7 linked regions of the Xenopus tropicalis genome follow. The protein of the gene in region 1 interacts with the protein of each later gene in a pairwise test. Links are inferred from orthologs where the notes say so. Each region holds a gene or a part of one and is shown in the gene's direction. Other genes may lie near its edges.

Region 1 (3,500 bases):
AAGCACCAATTATATATATATATTACAGGGGATCAGAAAAATGTGTAAAATCTGTGAAATTGCAAAATCAGGGAAATGCAGTGTGTATTGTTATTGATGGAACCAATAATAATTCATACTGAAAAAAAACTGTAAAATGTGGGAAAACTTTATATATGGGGATGTGGTTTTACTGTATTCATGTGCTTAATCATCTTCACTTTCATCATAACCATACATCCTTATTTAGGGATTGAGGAGTCAGCTAGTTCCTGTAAGTTCAAAGTAACAGACAAAGCTTTGGACTCTGCTAGTGGCTACTGCTACTGTAGATCCTTAGAGGAGTAGGATGTTACTAGGTTCCCAGAGAACTGGGCACAGACCTTGCTTTTCAAGATGGAACAGGTAATCCCCTCTAAACTACTTAGTTATACCTAGTGCCTATGAATGTTTATGCATAAAAGTACAGTCACTGCAAAACCAAAAAAAAAGTGGTTGTGTTTTTTATGGATAATTACAGAGGAATACATTTATTAAGATCCTCTGAATAAAAATGGGGCTTATATCCTTTCCTAAGAGCATATGCTCTAACTCTTTGTCTAAGTGACTATTATGTATATCGTGCTTGATTTGGCATAGTTGTATAAGCATTACATTACATTTTAAATACTACAGTTTGATCAGTATTGGTAAACCTGTAATAAACAAACCTTTAATAATTTTTAGTTACAGAGTTGACTATTGGTTCTTCTATACTATCTTCACAAATCTGTGGTCGCCTTATTAGGGTATACAAGACTGGTGGGCAGGAGTGTGCCAAAACAAAGCATAGAGGGTCAACTTGGCTAATTCCTCTGGCAAATTCATACCTGTCTGTTGTAGTGTGTATATACTGTATAGTGGATAATGTACCCCCTATTGTAATTTATTAAAATATTAGAAGTCACTGAGGAGTTACAAGACCATATAAAAACATGAGGCCTCAGGCAGAGTGCTTTTATCCGGGTCACACCAACCTTTTTTATTCTCCACCTATGTTTTACAGATATATGTAAATACATTTATAAATGCTAGATAGAAACAGTGTGAGGGCCAAGGTCAAAAAGTTGTGTTAACTATGTACAAATAATCAGGAAAAAATTTAAAATTGCCCTTAATGTATAGATAGATGGCCGTTCATGCTCTGTTATTGTCTACTGAGCAGCTTGTTGTCCCATGCCTGGTGCCAGAATTATGGTCATTATTATCCACGGCCGATTGGGACTTTTTTTGTCAGTTGATAATGCTGAAACCCACCTTGGGTGAGGACCACCCTAGACAGCGCTGCATGGGCCTCTTATGATCTGACTATAGGGTCATCTAGATTTGTCTCACAGCTTTGGTGGTGAAATCCTGCACTGACCTGAATGATTGCACTGATGTTTATTATAATGACTGCATGGTAGTTGCAATTTAATCTGTGAAAGTTACAGAACATCAGTATAAAATTACTTTTTCTAAAGTAGCTCTAGGCAGCTTTAACTTTCAGGCTTTACCAATTTTTTTGCATGTTTTTAATATAAGAATAAAATGGCATTTACTTGTTGTCTCTTTAAAGTTATTTATGTATTTCTCCTGCAATAATTGGCTAAACAGTACATTTCCAGCTATGTTTTCCTAATTTCTCTGTATCCCCTTATAAGGTATTATTTAGTAAATGTGCCTCAAGGTCCATTAAGAACAGTTTCTTATTGTTGCTGTAATTAAATTGTTCCCACAAGTCTAAGACTTGTTTGAGCTATTCTTTAATATGTAAGCCTCTAAACAGATTTCCAAGAAAGGGTAAGAGTTTTATTATTTATTGTTTTGTTTAATTAGTGCAGCCAAGATGCAGTGTATAAATCTGTAGACGAGACATGCAGGGATCCTTGAATTGAAAAATCTATACATTTATGCCTAGAAGTATCACATGAAACACAGAGTATAACCTAAACTGACAAAGGGTAAAGTCCCAGAATGTGTTCAATGTCAAGAAAATGTTCATTTACTACTTCTGTAAGTGTAACACATATAAACACACATTACAATAAGTTGAAATCAGAATTTCATTTATTTTAGAACAGTGTTTTACTTCAGCCCAAACTTAAGTCATTTCTTTTCTACCTCTGCCATTTTCAATTCTCTTTCCATCCCTCTCCTCATCTACTGTACCTCTTCCCACTCAACTGCAAGTTGCATCCATTTAACAGCATTTCACTAACCAATTTACACCTGATTGCAGCTGGCAATAATAAATCAATGTAAATACTAATTATAAACAGGGTATGCTCTTCTATAAAGTGTTTTCATTTGCAATGATGTCTTGTTTATCATGCTCTGATCAATGTACAACATTCTGTTTGGAGTAAAAAATGTTTTACTATTTGTTGTTTTTTAGGGAATCAGATTTGATCCAGAAATTCCTCAGACGCTACGCCTTGAGTTTGCAAAGGCAAACACAAAGATGGCCAAGAGCAAGCTTGTAGGCACCCCAAATCCCAGCACACCTCAGCTGAACAGCGTACCTCAGTTTATCTCTAGGGACCAGTGTAAGTGTTTATACTCTGAAATACTTTGTAATTGATCACTTGCAGCCATTAATATCACTGTAGTATCATGTACAGTTCCATGAAGGCAAGTTCCATATCACATGTAAAGGATGAAATATTGATGAAGATTGAAAAGAGAAAGATTAATGTGAGGGTTAATGAAAGGGAATGCTATGCAGGAATTATGAACAAAAATAAGAAAGACAAAGGAACAGTATGCAGAATGGATTGAATCTCACATTTAAAATAGATTCACGGTTGAAGGAAATGTCTCCATTTTAAATCAACATTTCTACTAGTAAAACTATTTAAAAGGCTATAGGAACATATAAATATTGTGGGTCTGGTCCATTGCTCTTGTATAAAGGCCTATATTCCATTCTGGTTACACAGTGTGTTAACGGAAGTCTATTCATTGTTGTACCTTTCACCTTCTTGCTCTAGTAACATCTGATGAAGAGATTAATAATAGGTTTTTCTACAGTCACCCAAACTGTACAAATGATATGCCGAGTACTAATAGTAATTAGCTTTCCTGAATGGTTGTACTTTTGCTTCTATTTACCCACAGTCAATGCTGTTAGGTTCTTCCTGGATTCTAATCTTGCTAGTAGCATGTAAAAAAAGTCGCTGAATATTAATCTATGATACCCTGACTGTTTCTTTAAATTGAGAAAGATTTTTAACATGAACTATGATAATGCCCTGATCTGTGATGTACATAGAATATACAATTCTAACATGACTGGGGTTTCCATTAAAACATATATCTGAAAATGTGATCCATTTAAAGAAGGATGTGCCACAAATATTTTACAAATATTTTACTTGAATTTTCACATAAGAAACCCTAAATAATGTCAAAATAAAGTAAAAATAAATGTTCTTTTTTAACCATGTGACCAGTAAATTCTATGTTAAAATTAGTTTACATAATTGACTAAACCTGTGGCA
Region 2 (2,732 bases), on another chromosome or scaffold:
TAGGGCTAGAGTCAAATTTAGGAAATAAGTACAAATGACTGCAGTATTGTGTGTCTATGTAGATTTTCATTCATGCAGGTCATGGTATATCTAGTATAAATAAATTTGAAGCAACTGGACTTGTTTAGTAATCATTGAAGACGTTTCACTACTCATCCGAGCAGCTTCTTCAGTTCAACTGAAGAAGCTGCTCGGATGAGTAGTGAAACGTCTTCAATGATTACTAAACAAGTCCAGTTGCTTCAAATTTATTTATACTAGATATACAGTATTGTGTATATTGGTGATTAGAGCTGGGCAGTGTGGCTGGCCGCCATGCAGTTAGGTGCTGGGCCGTGTGGCTGGCCGCCATGCAGTTAGGTGCTGGGCCGTGTGGCTGGCCACCTTGCAGTACATTGGCCTAATCCGCTCCCTTTTGCCTTTCCTGCAGGTCTGGTTTAAGAACCGCAGAGCCAAGTGTCGGCAGCAGCAGCAGCAACAGCAGAGCAGCAGCGGGGCGGGAGTGAAGAGCAGACCGGCCAAGAAGAAGTGCAGCCCGGCCAGAGAGAGTTCGGGGTCGGAGAGCAGCGGCCAGTTCACTCCCCCCGCGGTGCCCAGCTCCGGCTCTTCCTCCTCGTCCTCCTCTTCCAGTTCCAATTCATCCGGGAACCCCGGCCTGGCTACAGCCCCGCTGAATGGCAGCACCTCCACAGCCTCCTCCATCTGGAGCCCGGCCTCCATTTCTCCGGGCACTGGCCCTGGGTCTGGCCCCGACCCCTTGGGAACAGGCAGCGCCTCCTGCATGCAACGCTCTGGCTCCTCATCTGCAGCTTCCTACCCCATGTCCTACAGTCAGGCAGCCGGCTACACCCAGGGCTATCCTGCCCCTTCTTCCTCCTACTTCAGCGGGGTGGATTGCAGCTCTTACCTGGCACCAATGCATTCTCACCATCACCCTCACCAGCTGAGCCCCATGGCCCCTTCCTCCATGTCTGGCCACCATCATCATCATCACCACCTGAGCCAGACCTCCAGCCATCACCACCACCACCACCATCACCAGGGCTATACCGGCACAGGCTTGCCCTTTAACTCCTCTGACTGTCTGGACTATAAGGAACAAGCCGCAGCGTCTTCTTGGAAACTCAACTTTAATTCCACCGACTGTCTGGACTACAAAGATCAGTCCTCCTGGAGGTTCCAGGTCTTGTGAGCAATCAGAGACCATTTCTGCCTGCCATCCTCTTAAATATATATATATATATAAATATATGAATAAAGTATATGTGGAAGTGCTGTGCCAGGCTTGCCTCCAGCTGGAGTGAAGGACATGAATGAACAATATATATATTTTTTAATCTGCTTGTGGGCTAGAATTCTGAATATATGAATTAACTGTGCCTGTACAAAATGGATAGATATCCCACCAGTGTTCTTCACCATTTAGTGGTTTTATTTATTCACTGTCTGGACCTGGGATTTGGACAAATGTCTGCCTTTGATGTGCTCTCAGTACAGCCCTGGGACCTGTGGCTAATCTAATGTTTTAACCCAAAGTTTCTCATTCTATAAAGTGCAAGGGGCAGGTGTGTTGTGCCCAGTCTGTATAGAGCCCTTCCCCTGAGGTTTATATGATGTAGGACTCATTTAGCTTCTTGCTGCCCAGGCGGCTGGAATATGTACATATTTATTTAGGTCCGTTTGTAGGACCCTTTATTTTTAGTTTATATTATTGGTTTGATTTCCGGACTTCTAACTACAGCCCCACCATTAATAACCCCTTTACTGGAGACCAAACCTCTTGCATATTAGATGTTGTGGCGTTTCCCCACTCTATTTATTAAATACAAAGTCTTGGAGACTGAAAAAGAATGAAGTTTCATGCACCCCCGTGTTCCTGAGAATGTGCTCGCCCGAGTCTGGCTTATTGCACTTTGTGTAGAGTCCACACTTGTCTGTCACTGGGAAATCGCACCCACGTTTGTTTAACGGGACAGCTCTCAGTATGTGTATTGTCACTCACATTTACTTTCTTTCAATCCCATTAGTGTCACCGCTATTCCTGCTTTTCTTACATTCTGTCCGGGCAGCACTTGCATTTGTGTCACTGAAAATTTGGCTCTGTTTGTCCCTGTGTAGGTGAGGAAAATTCTGTTTGTACATTTGGTGCTCCACAATGGCTATCGATGTAAGGAAAAGTCATTTCTACATACCCCCCATCCTTTCAAATAAAAATCAAACTAATGAAAGTGAGTTTATGGTGTCGCTTTATTGTTAGTTGTGAATGCAAAGTCTGTGTGTTTAGGCGCTGTTTGTCAAGAGTGCCAGGTTGTCTAGCTGGTCTCAGGGAAATCTGCCAGGCCCTATCAGCCAGTACAGTAACCAGTGAAGTAATAAGGTGCCCTGTGTGCCCAGGCCGCCCTGGCGCCTACAGAAAGCTTTGCTTGGCTCTTGCGCCTAGAGAAATGTCGCACCAGTATCGCCAGGAAACGCTCTGCTAAGGGAATCATCGCCTCAGTTCTGGTGAAGGTTTTTATTAATCCTTCTTGGTTTTGCTGTAAATCAGCGGTATATCCGTAAAGTTAACAAATATTAAACCCTCAATTAGCGCCAGTCACATTCCAGGATCAATAATATACCAAATGAATTAAAACGCGAATGCAGTCTGGTAAGGACCTAACTATCGCAACTACTATATCGTGTCATCTTTGCAGTTAATACAAGGATCACATTCGGGCCACAAGGCTACGAAT
Region 3 (4,155 bases), on another chromosome or scaffold:
ATGGTGCCCGTGGCAGGCCGGATACGGATAATCCATGTAATGCGGCAAAACCGCAGCAGCCTCTCAGCTACACAGGAATAAGACTACCTTTTGGAGCACTCGCCCAGCACCTAATCTGGGAACTGGCACTTATATTGTAGTGTCACCCACTGTGACCTACAGCACTTATATTTGCCTACTTGTGTCTGTAAGTTACCCTCCCATATAGATTGTAAGCTCTACGGGGCAGGGACCTCCATCCTCTTGTGTCCTCGACTCTTAACTTATTGCTGATGTATTTATCTGTATTTATTATTATACTTTGTATTTATCTATTATCTTATTAACCCCCTGTTTGTATTAATGTATTCTACTGTACAGCGCTGCGTACATAAGTAGCAATTATAAATAAAGGGTTATGGGAGATAGCTCTCAGTACTAGTTGATCCAGGGACTGGTCCGATTGCCATCTTGGAGTCAGGAAGGAATTTTTTCCCCTCTGCGGCAAATTAGAGAGGCTTCAGATGGGGTTTTTTGCCTTCCTCTGGATCAACTAGTAGTTAGGCAGGTTAGGTATAGGCATTATGGTTGAACTTGATGGACGTATTTCTTTTTTCAACCCAACTTACTATGTTACTATGTTACTATATACATACATACATAAGTCCACCTCACCTCTCAGCTACACAGGAATAAATCCACCTCACCTCTCAGCGGGGAACCCTACAGCTCACGCGCCGCCGCCATGTAACCATTCTCACTCCTCTATATGGAACGTTCATCTGCACAAATGAATCTCGTACAGTCACAAATCCGGGGGAACGTGGGGAGGCCCAGTATTCGCATTGGATCGAGGGGAAGCTGACTGAAATAGAATAAGGACATGAATTAAAGGAGAAATACGCCATTTTCAAAGCTTTGTTAATCCTAAAAGGTTTTGTTCACCTTTAAATTAACTATTAGTACGTAGTAAGGAAGGCGATTCTGAAACAATTAGCACTTGGTCTTCATTTTTTTATTATTTGTGGTTTTTTAACTATTTAGCTTTTTATTCAGGGACTCCCCAGTTTGCAATTTATGCAGCTGTATGGTTGCTACAGTCCAAATTACCCTAGAAACCAGACTATATAGTGTCACTGCCCTCCATCTCCCAGGCAGTGAGTGAGGGAAGGCGGCCCAGTCAGAGCCCTATATAGGGTCAGAGCCAGCCCCGCCCATCTCCCAGGCAGTGAGTGAGGGAAGGCGGCCCCGCCCATCTCCCAGGCAGTGAGTGAGGGAAGGCGGCCCCGCCCATCTCCCAGGCAGTGAGTGAGGGAAGGCGGCCCCGCCCATCTCCCAGGCAGTGAGTGACGGAAGAGAATGTACCGCCCACCCAGGTTATGGCGGAGGTGATGTCACAGTGACAGGCCACTTCCCGCCTCCCCATTGCCGTAGCCCCGCCCCCGCATCTCTGAATGCCCGGAGAGAGGAGACGGACTGTGCAGCCTGACTCACGGACATCCTGCGCTACGGAACGGCATAGCCAGAGTGGAACGGCCCGGTGAGTACGGGGGGCTGCAAGGGACACGGCCTGGGGGCCGGGGAGTCAGTTTGGGGGGTGTAGGGCCGAGACGGGCAGCAGGGCCCCGGGAGAACTGGGGGCGGGGAGAGAGGGGGGGCAGGTGCAGGGGGGTGGGGGGGAGTTACTGTATCTGCCCCATAATAACATAGCCCTGGGGTAGGATTGTGATGTGTGGGGGGAGGGGGCAACTATATATAATTGGGGGGGGGGGGCAGTTCTGTACCCCATGGTATGTTGGTGGCTAGAGGCATGCCGGGATAATGGGGGTCCGTAACCTCCGGGGCAGAGAGGATGCCGGGATTGGAGCGGATTCTGCTGTGTGTGGGGAAGGTTATTGTGTGTGTGTGTGTGTGTGTGTGTGTGTGTGTTAGGTGCAGGCATTGTGGGTAATACTGGGGGTGTCAGGGAAAGAACACTGGGGGGGGGGATGCTGTGTGTGTGTGTGTATAGCCACATGAAAGCACAAACATAATGTATATATGTGTATATGATTTCATGTGTGTGGTTATTATATATATATATGTGTGTGTGTGTGTGTGGGAGGGGGGGGGCGGCTGGCAGTGTTGGTGCTGGGGGAATACTGATGGAGGGATATCAGGCAGGGGGGGGGGGGCAGTGCTTTGATGCTGAGGATGATGATGGTGACGGGGAGGCAGCGCCGGGATGGGTACCGGCCTTATTATATGCTGCTGGGGGGCAAACAACTGCCTATGGGGATTAGGGTTTGTGTCAGGGGTATTTATATGGGTCAGGGGGTGGGAGACTGGGCGGGGGGGGGGATATACATGGGGCTGGGGGTATGGCGCTGTGCTGGGTGATATATATATATATATATACACAAAAAGATCAGCGACACCAGGATTTTTTTTTAGGGAAAAACCAAATGTGTATTTAGCAGTAACACACATAACTGTATTATCTTTGTGCAATGATGTTTTGGTATATGGGTTATTTATTGGGTATTTTGTCCAGTACTGTATGAAGGGGGCTGCTATGGGGGGGGGTACTTGTGAGGGTCTCTGTGATGGAGAGAAATATACTGTTATGGCAGATGATTTCACAGTAGTGACGTGCCAGGCAATAGTATGTAGGGGCCAGTGGGGGGGGGCGGTATGGTAGGGCCAGGGGGGCTGGTATCATAGGGGTGGTATGGTAGTGCCAGGGTGGCGTTATGGTGGGGCCAGGGGGTTGGTATCATGGCGTCAGTATCATAGGGGCAGTATGGTAGGGCCGGGGGGTGCAGTATGGTAGGGCTGGTGCGGTTTCATAGGGGCAGTATGGTAGGGCCGGGGGGCAGTATGGTAGGGCCAGGGGGTTGGTATCATGGGGTCAGTATCATAGGGGCAGTATGGTAGGGCAAGGGGGTTGGTATGGTAGGGCCAGGCGCTCGGTATCATGGGGCAGTATGGTAGAGCCAGGGAGGGGGTCGGTATGGTAGGGGCAGGGGGGTCGGTATGGTAGGGGCAGGGGGGTCGGTATGGTAGGGGCAGGGGGTCGGTATGGTAGGGGCAGGGGGTCGGTATGGTAGGGGCAGGGGGTCGGTATGGTAGGGGCAGGGGGTCGATATGGTAGGGGCGGGATGGTAGGGGCAGGGTGGGCGGTATCATAGGGGCAGGGGGTCGATATGGTAAGGCCAGAGGGTCAGTATGGTAGGGGCAGGGGGGTCGGTAGGGGCGGGATGGTAGGGGCAGGGGGGCCGGTACAGTAGGGGCAGGGGACAGTGTAGCTGGTTGGTACTGGGATGGCGGTTCTGGGATGGGACACAATATAAAGGATTGCTGATGGGGCAGGTAATACTCACGGGGTGCCAATATGAAGGGTTATAATATGGGGGTACTGTAAAGCAGTGCTGGGCAACAGGGAAGATTTCAGGGGGGCTGGTGTGGCCCCGGGCTATTCAGCATTATGTCCCTCGCTGGGAGTAGTGCGGATCCGTGTGCCTTGTGGTTTCTCCAGCCACTGACTGTAGCGCTGCTGTATGTGGGGCCTGGGGGTTATGGGATGTTGTGCGGATACAATAGCAATAGTTCTGGGTTCCAGAACATCATCATGGAGGCCGCAGCTGCACATTAGGGCCATAAATGGCTCCTGGGCCTCCTGTAGGGCTTCATAGAATAATCATGGTGGAGGTATGTGTATCAGTAGTAATGCTGGGGGTGCTGGGAGGGACTTTACTAAAAATTATTTTGGGGGTTTAGCAAATAGTATTTCTCCTTACCTTACTATATGCGCCTCTCTGCTCCTTACCTTACTATATGCCCCTCTCTGCTCCTTACCTTACTATATGCGCCTCTCTGCTCCTTACCTTACTATATGCGCCTCTCTGCTCCTTGCCTTACTATATGCGCCTCTCTGCTCCTTGCCTTACTATATGCCCCTCTCTGCTCCTTACCTTACTATATGCGCCTCTCTGCTCCTTACCTTACTATATGCCCCTCTCTGCTCCTTACCTTACTATATGCGCCTCTCTGCTCCTTACCTTACTATATGCGCCTCTCTGCTCCTTGCCTTACTATATGCGCCTCTCTGCTCCTTGCCTTACTATATGCGCCTCTCTGCTCCTTGCCTTACTATATGCGCCTCTCTGCTCCTTACCTTACTATATGCGCCTCTCT
Region 4 (3,226 bases), on another chromosome or scaffold:
CTCGCCCACTAATTGCAGACTCCTCACTCTTGTTCTGGTCTCAGGTGCAGCGTTCACCAAACTCCACACTGACACATGATTGAAATGAAAATTGCATTTTTCCAACCTATGTTACTATAATTGGGCAAAAGTATATAAAATAAAGGGGAATTTCTGCTTTTCTAGAAATCCACTAACTAATCCATTAATAAATGTTTTAAGTGTTTCACAAACAAGTTCATATTTTTTTTATTTTATATATTTAACAATTATTAACCCAATTTTTTTCTGACTACACAATCATGCTGTGAGTTGGTGACAAATTTGAATTATTCCACGTAGCTAATTTCAACTGAAAATATAAAAATTGTGTGGGAAAAAGCCATCTAATTTTCACACATGGTTTTCAGAAGTTTTTTTTTTTACTTGCTTTGTTTTTGAGTGCATTTCAGCTGAGTGAAAGTCTTCTCGTTTTAAAGCTCATGTCACACTTACTTTATCTGCTGATTCCACATGCATTACAAGGAACAGTATAGTAATGAGTAATGTGTTATTCAGAGAAAGGGTTATTGATCCTTTGTCTTTTGAGCCAGTGTGTGTAGTGTATATTTAGAATCGCTTCCATAAAGCAATACAAAGCTGCTTTTGTTTGACAGAAAAGAATACAGTGGATATTCGCATGAATACCACAAAAATGTATTTCTCTATGAAATAATAATTGCTAAAATCTTTTTTCAGCAGTAAGTTTTTAGCAGGCAATAGAAATATCAGTGCCTCTGACTAAATGTGCCAATAAGGATAGTAAAGGACCATATATGATTAGACCAGAGAAGTGCAGAGATGACAAATGGTCCGTCAACTAAAAGCATGCAGGATAAAATGAACTTTACTAAACGTGCTAATAGGAGGACCATTATCACTGTAACGTTTAACTAAAGTATATATATACAGTATATAGCTAAATGTGTGTAAAAAAAACTAATTGCATGTTGTCTCAGAATATCATTGTCTATGTTATAGTTAAAATGTTGCCCCTGCCTTACAATAATAATGTACAAATTGGTCTGCCACACTTTTGTATGTTATGTTTAAAAGTTAAAATAATAAAAAGACACCTTTTGTAAGTTAATTTATTTGTATACAACCCATTTAGAACCACTAGATCATTGTTGACTTGTGACTTGGTTGTGGGTGCTTAAACCAGCTTATTCTGTTTATCTCCTGTTTCCCTACAAGCTATGTAATTTCATCATCAAAAAATGTCCTTTGCCTCTCCAAACCAAGTAATGCTTTAGTATCTTTAAAGAACTGACAGCTAGCTTTTCCTGCAAATTGTGTAGATAACTTACTGGGTATTTCTGGATATTACCAATACCTTCACTTCAGGCATCTTCCTTAAAATATGCCTGTGGTTTTTCAGATCTTTTCATCTTCTTATCGGTCTTTACTGTACTGTAATAATTAAATCGCTATCCACATTAACTTATTGGGCGGGATACTCAGACTTTGGATAAGCTGCACTTTAAATGGGTTGTTTACCCATTGAGTTAACTTTTGGTATAATGTAGAGCAAAGGTCCCCAACCTTTTTTTTTTTACTTGTGAGCCACAATCCTGGCGTTCCCAAATAAGGGCTATTATTGGCTTTTTGGTAGCCCCTATCTGGACTGGCAGCCTACATGTTTGGCAGTACTTCTGGATTTAATGCAACCAAAACATGCCTTTAAGCCAGGAATTGAAAAATAGCACCTGCTTTGAGGCCATGGGAGCAACATGAAGGGGTTGGTGAGCAATATGTTGCTTGCGAGCCACTGTTTGGGGATTACTGATGTAGAGAGTAGTATTCTAATACAATTTCCAGTTACTCTTCATTCTTTATTTGTGTTTTTTCAATTAATTCACTTATCTGGTTGCTAGGGTTCAAATTACTTTAGCAACCAGGGAGTGGTGAATAGAAGAGGATCTAAATAGAAACATAAGTAATAAAAAGTAACAATACATAGTAACATAGTAAGTTAGGTTGAAAAAAGACATCCATCCATCCATCACATTCAACCATAATGCCTATATATAACCTGCCTAACTTCTAGTTGATCCAGATTACAATAACAATAAAATTGTAACCTCACAGAGCAATATTTTTCTGTTGATGGGGTCAGTGACCCCATTTGAAAGTTGGAAAGACTAAGATAAAGAGGGCAAATAATTCAGAAATTATAAAAAATGAAGACCAACTGAAAAGTTTTTTTTTTTAGAATTGGCCATTCAATAACATAATACATGTTTGTGAGTTTGTAAACTCCTTTTTTGTTTTCTGTTAGTTGTGTGATAGCTGTAAATTGAGTATTGCTTGTGATCTAAACATTGCGTGCAAATGTGTGTTTAGTTTTTACTAAACTGGTTCAGTATAAGTTTTAGGGACTTAGGGAAGGATAGGCTTCTCACTATTTAGGGCAAACAAAATAGTTAGAAAAAAAACATTTTTATGAATGTTTTACCCCTTTAGTAGAATGCTTAAATATTTGATGCATGTATTTGAGTCTGAAAGTCTGAGTCTGTAATTTTTGTTTTTTATTTCTGTGTTAGATTGGAGCAACCATATTTTTCTGCAAACGGTCAATTCTTTCAGGCCCTTAGTCACTGTTCATCTCTACAGCGCTTGTGCATTGTATCTCACAATGGAAAGTTCCAGCCTGATGCAGTGATCTCCTTTATCAGTTCTTGTCCTAGTCTTGTTGTATGCCACATGTTTACAGGAGAAACTCTGAAATCATGCAGGAATCTTCAGCAGTGCATTAAACAAAGGTAAGCATGCTATCTTTTGTAGAGTTAATTGTAAACTTTTTACCTGCAGTCAAGGGCGCTGCTTCCATGAGGCAATTTGAGATACTCGCCTCAGGCGGCAGTGCCCTGCAAGTTACCAGGAGCAGCAAAAAGCCTAACTTTTTTTAATAACTTTTGCCTAGTACTAAATAATGCAAACTATAAGATTGACGCAGGATGCTGCCACTTTGCAGAGTAATTTGACAAAATTGAAAAACTGAGCAGGAAAATGAGGTTCAATGTTGAAAAGTGCAAAGTTCCCATTCTAACTGTGATGACCGTAAAGAGGTGCCTACAGCACATGCTTGATTGATATTAATTGGAGCGGAGGCAGTGAGCATGCCCACTCACTCTTCATAGCTGGAGAGGGAAGGAGGGCTCAGGAAGGACGGAACTTTATACTAGGCAAGGAAGTCAGTAAAAGA
Region 5 (2,624 bases), on another chromosome or scaffold:
CCCTGCATGTGTATATAAGTTCTCATTAGTCCGCTACCCCCTATTCGGGTTCAAGTACATTAGGAAGATTAATCATTAAGCAGATAGTTTAGATGGTAGACTCATTGTTCTAGTTTACAGTGAAGCCAAGATTAAAAAGGCACAGTGCCAAGCAATTTCTACCCCCAGTAAAGTAAAATATTTAGCCACAGAGAAGAAAAATGTCTTCCTGTCTGAAGATAACATGCTCAGATTTTGTCTGGTAGTTTTGTCCAATTTATATCACACTGCCCAACCATTGGGGTAATTTCAACAGTTAATTCTGCAATCCTGATGGATAGAGGATTATCTGGCCTGCCAGGAAATTTCCATTGGTCAGGTAGGATGTGGGGCTAAAGTTTCTTTTCACTACCTTTTCTTCTGACGGTTTGGGCAATGAGCCCAAATGGAATGGAAAAGTGGCCATACACATATCTAGCCACTTTTACAGTATACATCTGTTCAGGAGGGAGTGCTTGCCAGAACAAGAAAGGGGTACATTGAAACATGCAATGGCTAAAGTTGTAGGTCTAGCAAAACCAGCAGCTGAGCCTGCATCAATGTTTAAACACTAACCAGCAGGTATTAGATATGCCCTTGTATCACTATACTGTATAGATCAGCCTATGTATGGCCACCTTTAGGGCTCTGGCACACGGGGAGATTAGTCGCCCGCGACAAATCTCCCTGTTCGCAGGCGACTAATCTCCCCGAAATGCCATCCCACCTTGAGAGGAAACTTCCGCAATTTCCCTGAAATCGCGGCACCGCGTTTGCCATCCCACCAGCGATTTACATTTTCGCCGGTGAGATGGCATTTCGGGGAGATAAGTCACCCATGAACAGAGAGATTTGTCACGGGCGACTAATCTCCCCGTGTGCCGGAGCCCTTACAGGGCAAGCATATTTCTACCTGGATCAGTAACCTTGGACACATTCATTAGTTGAACACGATTTAGTAATAACTTTAATGACCTTATTATACAAATAGTAACTTATTCTATCTTGTTTGCAGAAAGCAGAAAAGAAATAACAACAGATACTTGGCCACAGAATGCTGGAGAGAAAGTGATGAAGGAGGAAATCATCTCTAATCCCCCATACCTTGAAAGCAAACCTGGTGCCCAGTCTCTCCCCCAACAGGGACCTGTTACTATAATGGAGAGCATTGTTATGTCCTAATAACAGCAGATTTCCGCCCAATGCCATACCTCCGTGCCATTATTATTATTTTTTTTTTTAAAGATAAAGTGCCCAAGCATTTTCTGGTCCTCGCTTGCTGGCCAGAGGGCTCCTCACTTTGCCGAGCTGCCAACAAGTTCAAGCAGGAAGAACAGTGACCAATTATTTCTCTCCCAGGAAGCAGCCTTGCAGGCACACAAGGGGCTAAGAAGACGTGCCACTGAGCTGTAAAGAAGAAACCGCAAGGTGTGAAGGTGTAGGGTTAATATTTTATAGAAGTTATAGACAATTGTTCTATGTTTATTTTGTATTAAGCAAATCAAGGACTTGGGATTGAGGTAATTGTAAGTATATACACATTATCCCAGTCATTGCACTAATCTTTGTAGTCTGTGTGCACCGACTGTGCCATGATTTCTAGTCAGGCCAGTTGCTGAAGTGACTGACCTGTATAAAACCTCCGTTTATTACAGCATTTATAAGAATGTAGCAAGCATAGTCAGCGTAAGCATTCCTTAACCTACACTGAGCATGATCACTTCATTTTGGATGTTTGTTCTATGCCAAGCTTGTAAATGGCTGCACTGCTGGGTACACAGACTATCGTATTTGGTGCCATACTTCCAGGGCTCAATGCAGGCAGTCTGTCCTCTCTTCTACTGTGAATACACCGAAGCTGGTCCATGTCTTTTTATACAAAGGATAGCACTGCTACTTTTTCCGGCTGTCTCCATAGCCCTTCCAGTACCATGGAGCAGACTAAGCATGTTCTTATGATACACAGCATTCTTGTCAAGGGTACGACATAGCGCTCCTCATTTTTAATACTAATCCATTTTACATCAACCAGGGGAAATCGCTCACCTCCTCCAACTAAACAGCTATGTTTGGATTTATTGAAAAATACAATGTTATATACACACACGTGCAGCCTTGCTGGTTTTCTTCACATTTTAACATTGGGAAATGCAACTGTTACAGACCTAAAACTAACAGCATGTCCTTAGTGAGATGATTATCCGGATCTGGAATAATGGGATAAAACCTTGGCCTCTATGCATTAGCCTCAGTATTAGCTGGAGCCATTCCTCCAGGTAAGTATATCAGAGCTGCTTCCAAGCACTTATATACAGGGGTTCCTTCTACAAACTGCTCTCCCTTCACTGTTCTGGAGAGGGCAGGTGGCGAAAACAGCGACTGTATAGCTGGTTTCCTGAGATACCTGCTGTCAGACAAGTACCTAAGGCCAGAAACTCATGGGAATGCCCAGTGAGACTTACTCTGACAACAGGCTATTTGAGAAGATTTATAGAATTTTTAGGCAATTTTTAAATAAAGGTTTAATTCTTCTTGTAATATATAATACTTAGGATGAGCAAATGACTTGTAGAAAGGAAAAAAAATGACATGCTTTCTTAGTATCT
Region 6 (3,500 bases), on another chromosome or scaffold:
GCTCCTGGGATACCTTTAAACCTTTGGGGGAGGGACTATCTGATCTAGGGGCGGGGGCAGGGGGTGCCCCTAGGTGTAATGCTGATATGGGGAGTGGCCAGGAAAAGTATTTATAAAGCACTAACATATTCTGCAGTGCTGTACAATGCAAGGGTGTGTTCATCAAGCATTCATATTACATAAAAAATGCTGACAGATACAGGTGGTTAATAGGGTCCGGCTCATTAGAGCTTACGTTCTAAAGCGGCATTGCTGTGTTATATCTGGCCTGCATTGAAATACATGGGTCTACAGCTCCTCCAACTATTATTACTGTTACATTGTGTGAATATAAGTATAAAATGAAGCATTGAACTGGTCAGTAAACAGGTAATAGCTGATATTGAATATTGGTACTTTGCTGTATATTCAAAGAAAATACATCTCAAAGCAACCTAGAAATAGTTCTAATCACAGACCACAGAGGTAGATAGACCTGATTAAAAATGGACTGCAAAAGCTCTGTTCCTATCTCAAAACATAATTAAATGGGTTGCTGTAACCTCGGTATATTGCAATAAATGTTACTGATTGTAATATTTGTATATTTTCCCCTCAGCCAGATGCTTCCTCCCGAACCAGCAGCCTCAGCAGAGATCGACTTCTATCTGAATCACAACTGCCCCCTGAGAAGAGTGGCACAACCTCTGTCCCCTCCCACCTGCTTGGAAATGCTTATGCCTTTGCCATTCCACCCAGCGCTGTTGTCCAAGATGCACGCTTCCAGCCCTTAAAGTGAGCAGGCATTATGCTAGTCTTTGATGCATGTATATGTTTTGCGCTCTTAGTTAATTAAGACAAGTAGGATTCTGCAGTCTGCACATTTGGTGTGACTGGCAAACAGGCTGGTCTCTAGCTTGTTTAGTCATGTGCAACAGAGGGATGCATTTGGCGATGTATAGGATCATATGAGCCCTCAGTGGCAAAGCTGAATGTCACTTACAATGACCAGTGCTGCCATCGGCTACTAGACTTTATTCACCTTCTCTATTGATATAGGGTACCTAATATGTGATGAATTTTCTTTATACACAGAGGTATATTTATCAAAGGGTGAAATCAACCTCGCTACAGAGGAAAATATCATAGCTTTCTCTCTCTCAATGTCCCCTCTAATTTCTTCTTAAATTCAAGTATTTTGTGCGCACCACATTTTATTGTGTGTGTTGGGAACATTGTCTCTGTTCACTTCTATTGGGCATGTCCCTTTGTTAAACACTCCCCTAAAAATCTTATGCTGCCCTTGTACCATGTTTTTACATCTCCCACTGGTTGCTCAGTTGGTGGGTGTCAGGTTACTATTTCCAAGGGAAGAGGCTTAGTTAATACTAGTCTAGGTAGAAGTGGTGATGGAACCAGATGGAGAAGGAAGTAGTAGTAGTAGGCTACCATTTATATAGAAGACGTCCTGTAACAATAAATAAAGAGTTGTGCCAATGAGCTATAAAACCACCCAAAATTCTTAGTGGAATCTGAGGGTACCAACTCTGTGACGTTGCAGTAATAAGCTAAGTATCTGGTAATTCTGTGAATAAATTCCCTATTACCGTTACTCTATTATTAGCAAGAAAATGGCATTGAAAAAAGCAGGATTAATAGTTTCCTTTTAATTCCAGCTTGCAGCGGCCAGTACCTCATGTGGTCCCTCAAAGTGCAGTCACTGAGGAATATCTGCGCAGTTTCCGCCCATACCACACAGCTGAAGATCTGCGTATGCCCTCACTGCCCCACATTGGCCTGGATCCCGCAACTGCAGCAGCATATTATCATCCCAGTTATCTGGCCCACCACACTTTTCCTCACCCAGCATTTAGGTAATTAAAAGTATTTTTTAAATAAGAAAACTTATTGGAGCTCTCCAGCCACTATGAAAGGATCCCATTTTCTTGCTCTGTCATTCTAGGATGGATGATTCCTACTGCTTGTCTGCCCTGAGGTCCCCATTTTATCCTCTTCACAACCCTGGATCTCTCCCACCCTTGCACCCATCTATGCACCTTCACCTCCGATATCCCACAGAGCTTACACATTCATCATTGTCTGCACTGCAGTCAGAACGTATCCAGAGCCTTACAGCAGAGAGGTAAGAGAATAAATGGCACAGTGCCCCAAATGATGATAGCATCCTTTTTTTTTTTTTTTTTTTTTTTTTTTTTTTTTTACTTTTGGTAACAAAGATAAATGCTCTTGCTGGCTTGTTTTGTGATTATGGCACTGTATTACATTCAAATATATATATATATGCAAAATGCAGGTGCTCCCCTTGAAACCTTTTAACTTAAAAACACATCATTTTACATGGATTAAATAATAATATTATATATATATATTATATATATTGTTTGGTTTGTCCCTGAGGAAGAGCACAGTTGGTGCTCGAAACGTTGGATCGTTTTCATTAAAGAAATTTTTTGTTTTCTAAAAAAGTCCCTGCGTGTGCGGCTCATTGTCTTGCTATATATATATATATATATATAATATTATTATTTAATCCATGTAAAATTATGTGTTTTTAAGTTAAAAGGTTTCAAGGGGAGCAGCTGCATTTTGGTGAGGCAATATATAAACTATGATTGCTTTTGTAGGCTTCAAATGGATGAAGAACTAAGGCAGCGGGAAAGAGAGAGGGAGAGGGAGCGCGAGCGGGAGCGAGAAAAAGAGAGAGAAGCTGACCGGGAGAGAGAAAAAGAACGGGAACGCGAGAGGGAAAGGGAGCGGGAGAAGAAAGAAATGGAGCGAGAGAAGGAACGCGAGAGAGAGAGAGAAATGGAGAGACAACGAGAAAGGACTAGAGAGAAGGAAGCCAACCTTATAAAAAGTATAGAGAACCAATTTCTGCCTGAATCAGAGGTCCATCCACTCAGGGGTCATCAAGAAGAGCGTGCAAAACCTGCTGAACAGCCCACTCCAAATAGACATGGTAGGTTCCCAGCTCCAACAGGATACAGTCAACACTGAGCCATTTTCACTTTTAATTTCACTACAAAGCTATACATTGTAATGCATTTTGCCATGCAAGCTTTAACTATACAAGTGTACTTACAGTTTAGTTATGTTTGTGTGGAGGCACTTAGTGTTCCCCTTTTTGTCCTAAGGTGGTCTTCTGTATAGCTTAAAGGTCAACGCTATTATTTATTTTTTTTTAACTTCTGCAGAGAAGCTGAAGGAATCCTCTCTCTCATCTTCTAAGCTTATCCAGCTCCCAATACAACAGCCCCAGGCCACACAGCATTCTGTGCCCAGCCTCATTTCCAATCATGCTACCTTCACTCCACCTGGCAACAGTGCAGCAGCCTCTCTTCTGGCACAGAGGACACAGGAAGAGGAAAAGTGGTTAGCTAGGCAGCGACGTCTCAGACAGGAGAAAGAAGACCGCCAATACCAAGTCTCAGAATTTCGTCAGCAAGTACTGGAGCAGCAGTTGGATATTGGAGGTCGACCTATTAGCCAGCTGGAGACTG
Region 7 (3,500 bases), on another chromosome or scaffold:
CGATGGTCTTTTAATTACCGACACTCTCCCGGAGCACAGTGGCGAGTACAGCTGTTACTCAGAAGAGAACGGATTGCAGTCTTTGGTAGCAGTGTATTCTCTAAATGTCCTCTTGGAGCTTCCAAAAGAGAAGAACTATTCCACGCCAACACCGATAATCCAACTGCCAACAGCTGCCCCTCAGTCTACTGGTAATATTCAATTCATCTACATTTCCACAATCACCATTCTCGGTGTTCTGTGCGTCGTCCTCTCTATTGTTTTGTTATATGTGTCTTGCCAGCAGAAAAAGAAGGGTAAGTATGCTGTGAGAAACTCTCGCTCCACAAATGTTGAGCTTCAGACTGTATCATCTCAGTTTAAAGAAAAGGCAGAGGACTTGAACAGTTATTCTGATGGGTGCCTGCAGATCATCCCTGGAGAGGCACCCACACTGTCTCCCCACAAAGACATGCCTCCGCCCCCACCTCCACCACCTCCATTGCCCTCGGAGTTCACCAATGGAATAAGCACTCTACCCAACATGCTTAGGAAAATGAATGGCAACAGTTATATGCTTCTTAGACAGAATGAGGAGTCCAGCCTACCCTCATACAATTCTTTTACAGAGGAGCTCAGCAAGATCCTTGAGAAGAGGAAACATACACAACTGGTTGAAAAATTGGATGAAAGTTCTGTGTAGTATAGACTGAAAAAATACAAAGAACTAAACCTCATCTACCTCAATGGCAATTTTTAAAAAAATTACATTTTATAATATATTGTTTTTTTATTTTAACCCACATTACATATTTAAAAAAAAAACCAAAAACCTTGAAGCATTATAAGTACGAAATGGCCACCTCAGTTTGGAGACATTGGCTTTTCCACCAGCCTGTGGGCTTAAGCTTTGTTGAATAAATCATAAACTCGTGGGAAGGATTAGGCACGTCCAGCTGAGGCAGAAATCTGGATCCTGTTTGGTTTGGGAAAAAGTTACACATCAAACTACACCAAATTACACATCAGGTAGGTAAAAAAATAAAATAAGACAAAATGTTTTTATGTAATACTTTCATTAATCAGTTACATTTGTAACTGTTGCCATATTAACTCCTATATGTAATAACAGGCACTAAGTTTGCCAATGAGCAGTAACCCATAGCAACCAATAAAATGCTGACTGGTTGTTATGGGTTATTGGACCTGGCAAACTTAACATCTTTTATTACATGGCCCCATTAGTCTGCTAACCCTGTCTAACATTTGCTACCAGATGTTTTTAGATTACAGTGTTATAGTATTATAGGCATAGAATATGCACATGATGATGGTCTTGTGCTAAATCAATAGTTTATAGGAGGTATCCTCAAGGCAGTTTTATTTCACCTCTGTCAGTATGTGATGCATATAATTTATTAACTGAGTTAAACATAGTGGCAGGCTCGTGCAAGTCATTTCAGGCTTCCCAGAGCTTCACAGATGATCCTGGTAATCAGTGCTGGAGCTAGGGATAGACAGGGCTGGAGCTAGGGATAGACAGGGCTGGAGCTAGGGATAGACAGGGCTGGAGCTAGGGATAGACAGGGCTGGAGCTAGGGATAGACAGGGCTGGAGCTAGGGATAGACAGGGCTGGAGCTAGGGATAGACAGGGCTGGAGCTAGGGATAGACAGGGCTGGAGCTAGGGATAGACAGGACAGACACATGCCAGAGGGTAGGCGTATGTGTGGGCTTGTGGGTGCAGGGCTATTGCCTTGGGCTTCAATACAGGTATGGGACCTGTTGTACAGAATTCTATCTTCTTATTACAGAGAAAAAGGAAATCATTTTTTAAAATGTGAATTATTTGATTAAAAAAGAGTGTTTAGAAGATGGTCTTCCTGTAATTCAAATCTTTCTGGATAGCGGGTCTCATACCTGTACTACTTGGCCCGGCTCTACTGGCTATAAACAGTGTGTTGCATTGACTTCAATGAGCTGTAGACACATATCATTCCATTATTTTGGGACCACAAACTTTTTTGCATAATAATAGAAAATATCACTGTAAGCAACTTTCAGTTATGCATTCATCATAGAGTTTCAGTGGATTTTAAGTTATTTTGTTAATAAAAACTGAAATAAAGTAACCTTTTGCCATTACATATGTGAATATTTCATATTTTAGACTTTTTTTTTTTTTTTTAATAATTTTTAACTTATGCTTTATAAATAGTAAAATATGTTCTACTCTCTGTGCCCAATCTACATAGTAAGTCCAAGCTACTACAGGGTCGGACTGGGGGGTGCAGAGGCCTTAGGGGCCCCCCCACCTCCCACCAGGACCCTGAGCTACTATATGATTCTACAAAGCATGGGCACTTTCCTGGCAAAGATTATATTATTTCCATTGAAATCCAAGATAAACCTAGTTCAGGTTTCCTCCCTTCAGCTTCGCTATATTTAGTTTTATCTAGATAAAAGCTGTGCCGCAGCCAGTCTTCTGCCAAGAACAGAGAAACTTCTGCTGTGAAATGTAAATTGTGAGAGAAGATTTCCAGCTTGGATGTGTTACAAATAAGTAAACCCCTCTGGGGGGAAATATTGTGAATTAGAGGAGTCATTTTGTGCATCTTTTTTATCATAATGCATTATTCATTAGCAAACCATTGTTTGTTATACGGACATCCATCCTGCATCTGTAAATAATCATTGTTGCCTCAATTCCTCAACCTCAGACAGGGCGCTGGGAGGGGGTTGTGGTTAGGGAAGCTGCTTTGTTAAAGGGGCAGTATTCCCCCTGTTGGTTCAACATGAGTGCAGTGAGTAGGGCTTGTGCTGAGATTACTCTTTGCCTATAGTTTTTAGGAATCCAGGATTTGGCCTTTTTCAGCAGGATTCACATTCTACCAAATCCAAGTGCCTAGCCGAACTGAATTCAAATCCTTTAACACAGATGTTGAATTTTTTTTTTCTGTGCACACAGTTTTCTTTAACCCCTGCAAATTAGGATTCGGCAGAATCCCAAAATAGTGCAATAGTCTTGAATAAAGCAAGAATAGTCATAACGTATGTATCTACACTGACGTCCTTTTCTGAATATACTGGCATAATAGCGTCCAGTGCAAAATGTTAGCGCCTCTCCTTGAAAATGAGGCAGATAGGGGCAATCAGGAGAATTAGTCGCTTTGCTTTAGTCGACTAATCTCCCCGCAACGCCATCCCACTGGCTGGAATGTAAATCGGCGGTGGGATGGCATACGTGTCGCTGCGATATCCCGAAGTCGGCCAAAGTTGTCTTGAGAGGAAACTCCGGGCAACTTTGGGACATCGCAGCGTCAAAGATTTGTTGTGGGGCGACTAATCTCCCCATGTGCCACTGCCCTAAGGGTGAAGACACACAGAGCTACTAGTAGCAGCTACTTGTCGTGGCTACTAAAAAAGACAATGCTGATAATTGTCTCTACATGTGTTTTAGTAGAGGCAATTCTCAGTATTGTCTATGGCAGGATATTTTCTGGTGTTTTAGTAACCATGAAA

Evidence for each region.
Region 2: the proteins of rbpms (region 1) and otx1 interact in binary tests that used the Homo sapiens proteins (3 or more experiments, as listed by UniProt). The two-hybrid records come from large-scale screens. The link is inferred for Xenopus tropicalis from reciprocal best matches to the Homo sapiens genes RBPMS and OTX1.
Region 3: the proteins of rbpms (region 1) and fam168a interact in binary tests that used the Homo sapiens proteins (3 or more experiments, as listed by UniProt). The two-hybrid records come from large-scale screens. The link is inferred for Xenopus tropicalis from reciprocal best matches to the Homo sapiens genes RBPMS and FAM168A.
Region 4: the proteins of rbpms (region 1) and fbxl18 interact in a two-hybrid assay, tested with the Homo sapiens proteins (2 studies listed by BioGRID). The two-hybrid records come from large-scale screens. The link is inferred for Xenopus tropicalis from reciprocal best matches to the Homo sapiens genes RBPMS and FBXL18.
Region 5: the proteins of rbpms (region 1) and cnnm3 interact in binary tests that used the Homo sapiens proteins (3 or more experiments, as listed by UniProt). The two-hybrid records come from large-scale screens. The link is inferred for Xenopus tropicalis from reciprocal best matches to the Homo sapiens genes RBPMS and CNNM3.
Region 6: the proteins of rbpms (region 1) and gse1 interact in binary tests that used the Homo sapiens proteins (3 or more experiments, as listed by UniProt). The link is inferred for Xenopus tropicalis from reciprocal best matches to the Homo sapiens genes RBPMS and GSE1.
Region 7: the proteins of rbpms (region 1) and sema4g interact in binary tests that used the Homo sapiens proteins (3 or more experiments, as listed by UniProt). The two-hybrid records come from large-scale screens. The link is inferred for Xenopus tropicalis from reciprocal best matches to the Homo sapiens genes RBPMS and SEMA4G.

Annotation. Positions count from the first base shown.
Region 1 is NC_030677.2:83,887,483-83,890,982, reverse strand, and holds part of rbpms (RNA-binding protein with multiple splicing), read left to right. Parts: intron 1-2,395; coding exon 2,396-2,546; intron 2,547-3,500.
Region 2 is NC_030681.2:32,910,940-32,913,671, reverse strand, and holds the end of otx1 (homeobox protein OTX1), read left to right. Parts: intron 1-430; coding exon 431-1,192; 3' UTR 1,193-2,232; downstream 2,233-2,732. UniProt on the Homo sapiens protein: Probably plays a role in the development of the brain and the sense organs. Can bind to the BCD target sequence (BTS): 5'-TCTAATCCC-3'.
Region 3 is NC_030678.2:173,972,403-173,976,557, reverse strand, and holds the start of fam168a (protein FAM168A), read left to right. Parts: upstream 1-1,355; 5' UTR 1,356-1,519; intron 1,520-4,155.
Region 4 is NC_030685.2:46,838,832-46,842,057, forward strand, and holds part of fbxl18 (F-box/LRR-repeat protein 18), read left to right. Parts: intron 1-2,564; coding exon 2,565-2,783; intron 2,784-3,226. UniProt on the Homo sapiens protein: Substrate-recognition component of the SCF (SKP1-CUL1-F-box protein)-type E3 ubiquitin ligase complex.
Region 5 is NC_030679.2:125,271,144-125,273,767, forward strand, and holds the end of cnnm3 (metal transporter CNNM3), read left to right. Parts: intron 1-958; exon of another isoform or gene 959-1,033; coding exon 1,034-1,200; 3' UTR 1,201-2,124; downstream 2,125-2,624. UniProt on the Homo sapiens protein: Probable metal transporter.
Region 6 is NC_030680.2:64,870,816-64,874,315, reverse strand, and holds part of gse1 (genetic suppressor element 1), read left to right. Parts: intron 1-598; coding exon 599-774; intron 775-1,655; coding exon 1,656-1,853; intron 1,854-1,942; coding exon 1,943-2,122; intron 2,123-2,624; coding exon 2,625-2,959; intron 2,960-3,194; coding exon 3,195-3,500.
Region 7 is NC_030683.2:29,615,179-29,618,678, forward strand, and holds part of sema4g (semaphorin-4G), read left to right. Parts: coding exon 1-682; 3' UTR 683-1,008; intron 1,009-3,500. UniProt on the Homo sapiens protein: Cell surface receptor for PLXNB2. May play a role in axon guidance.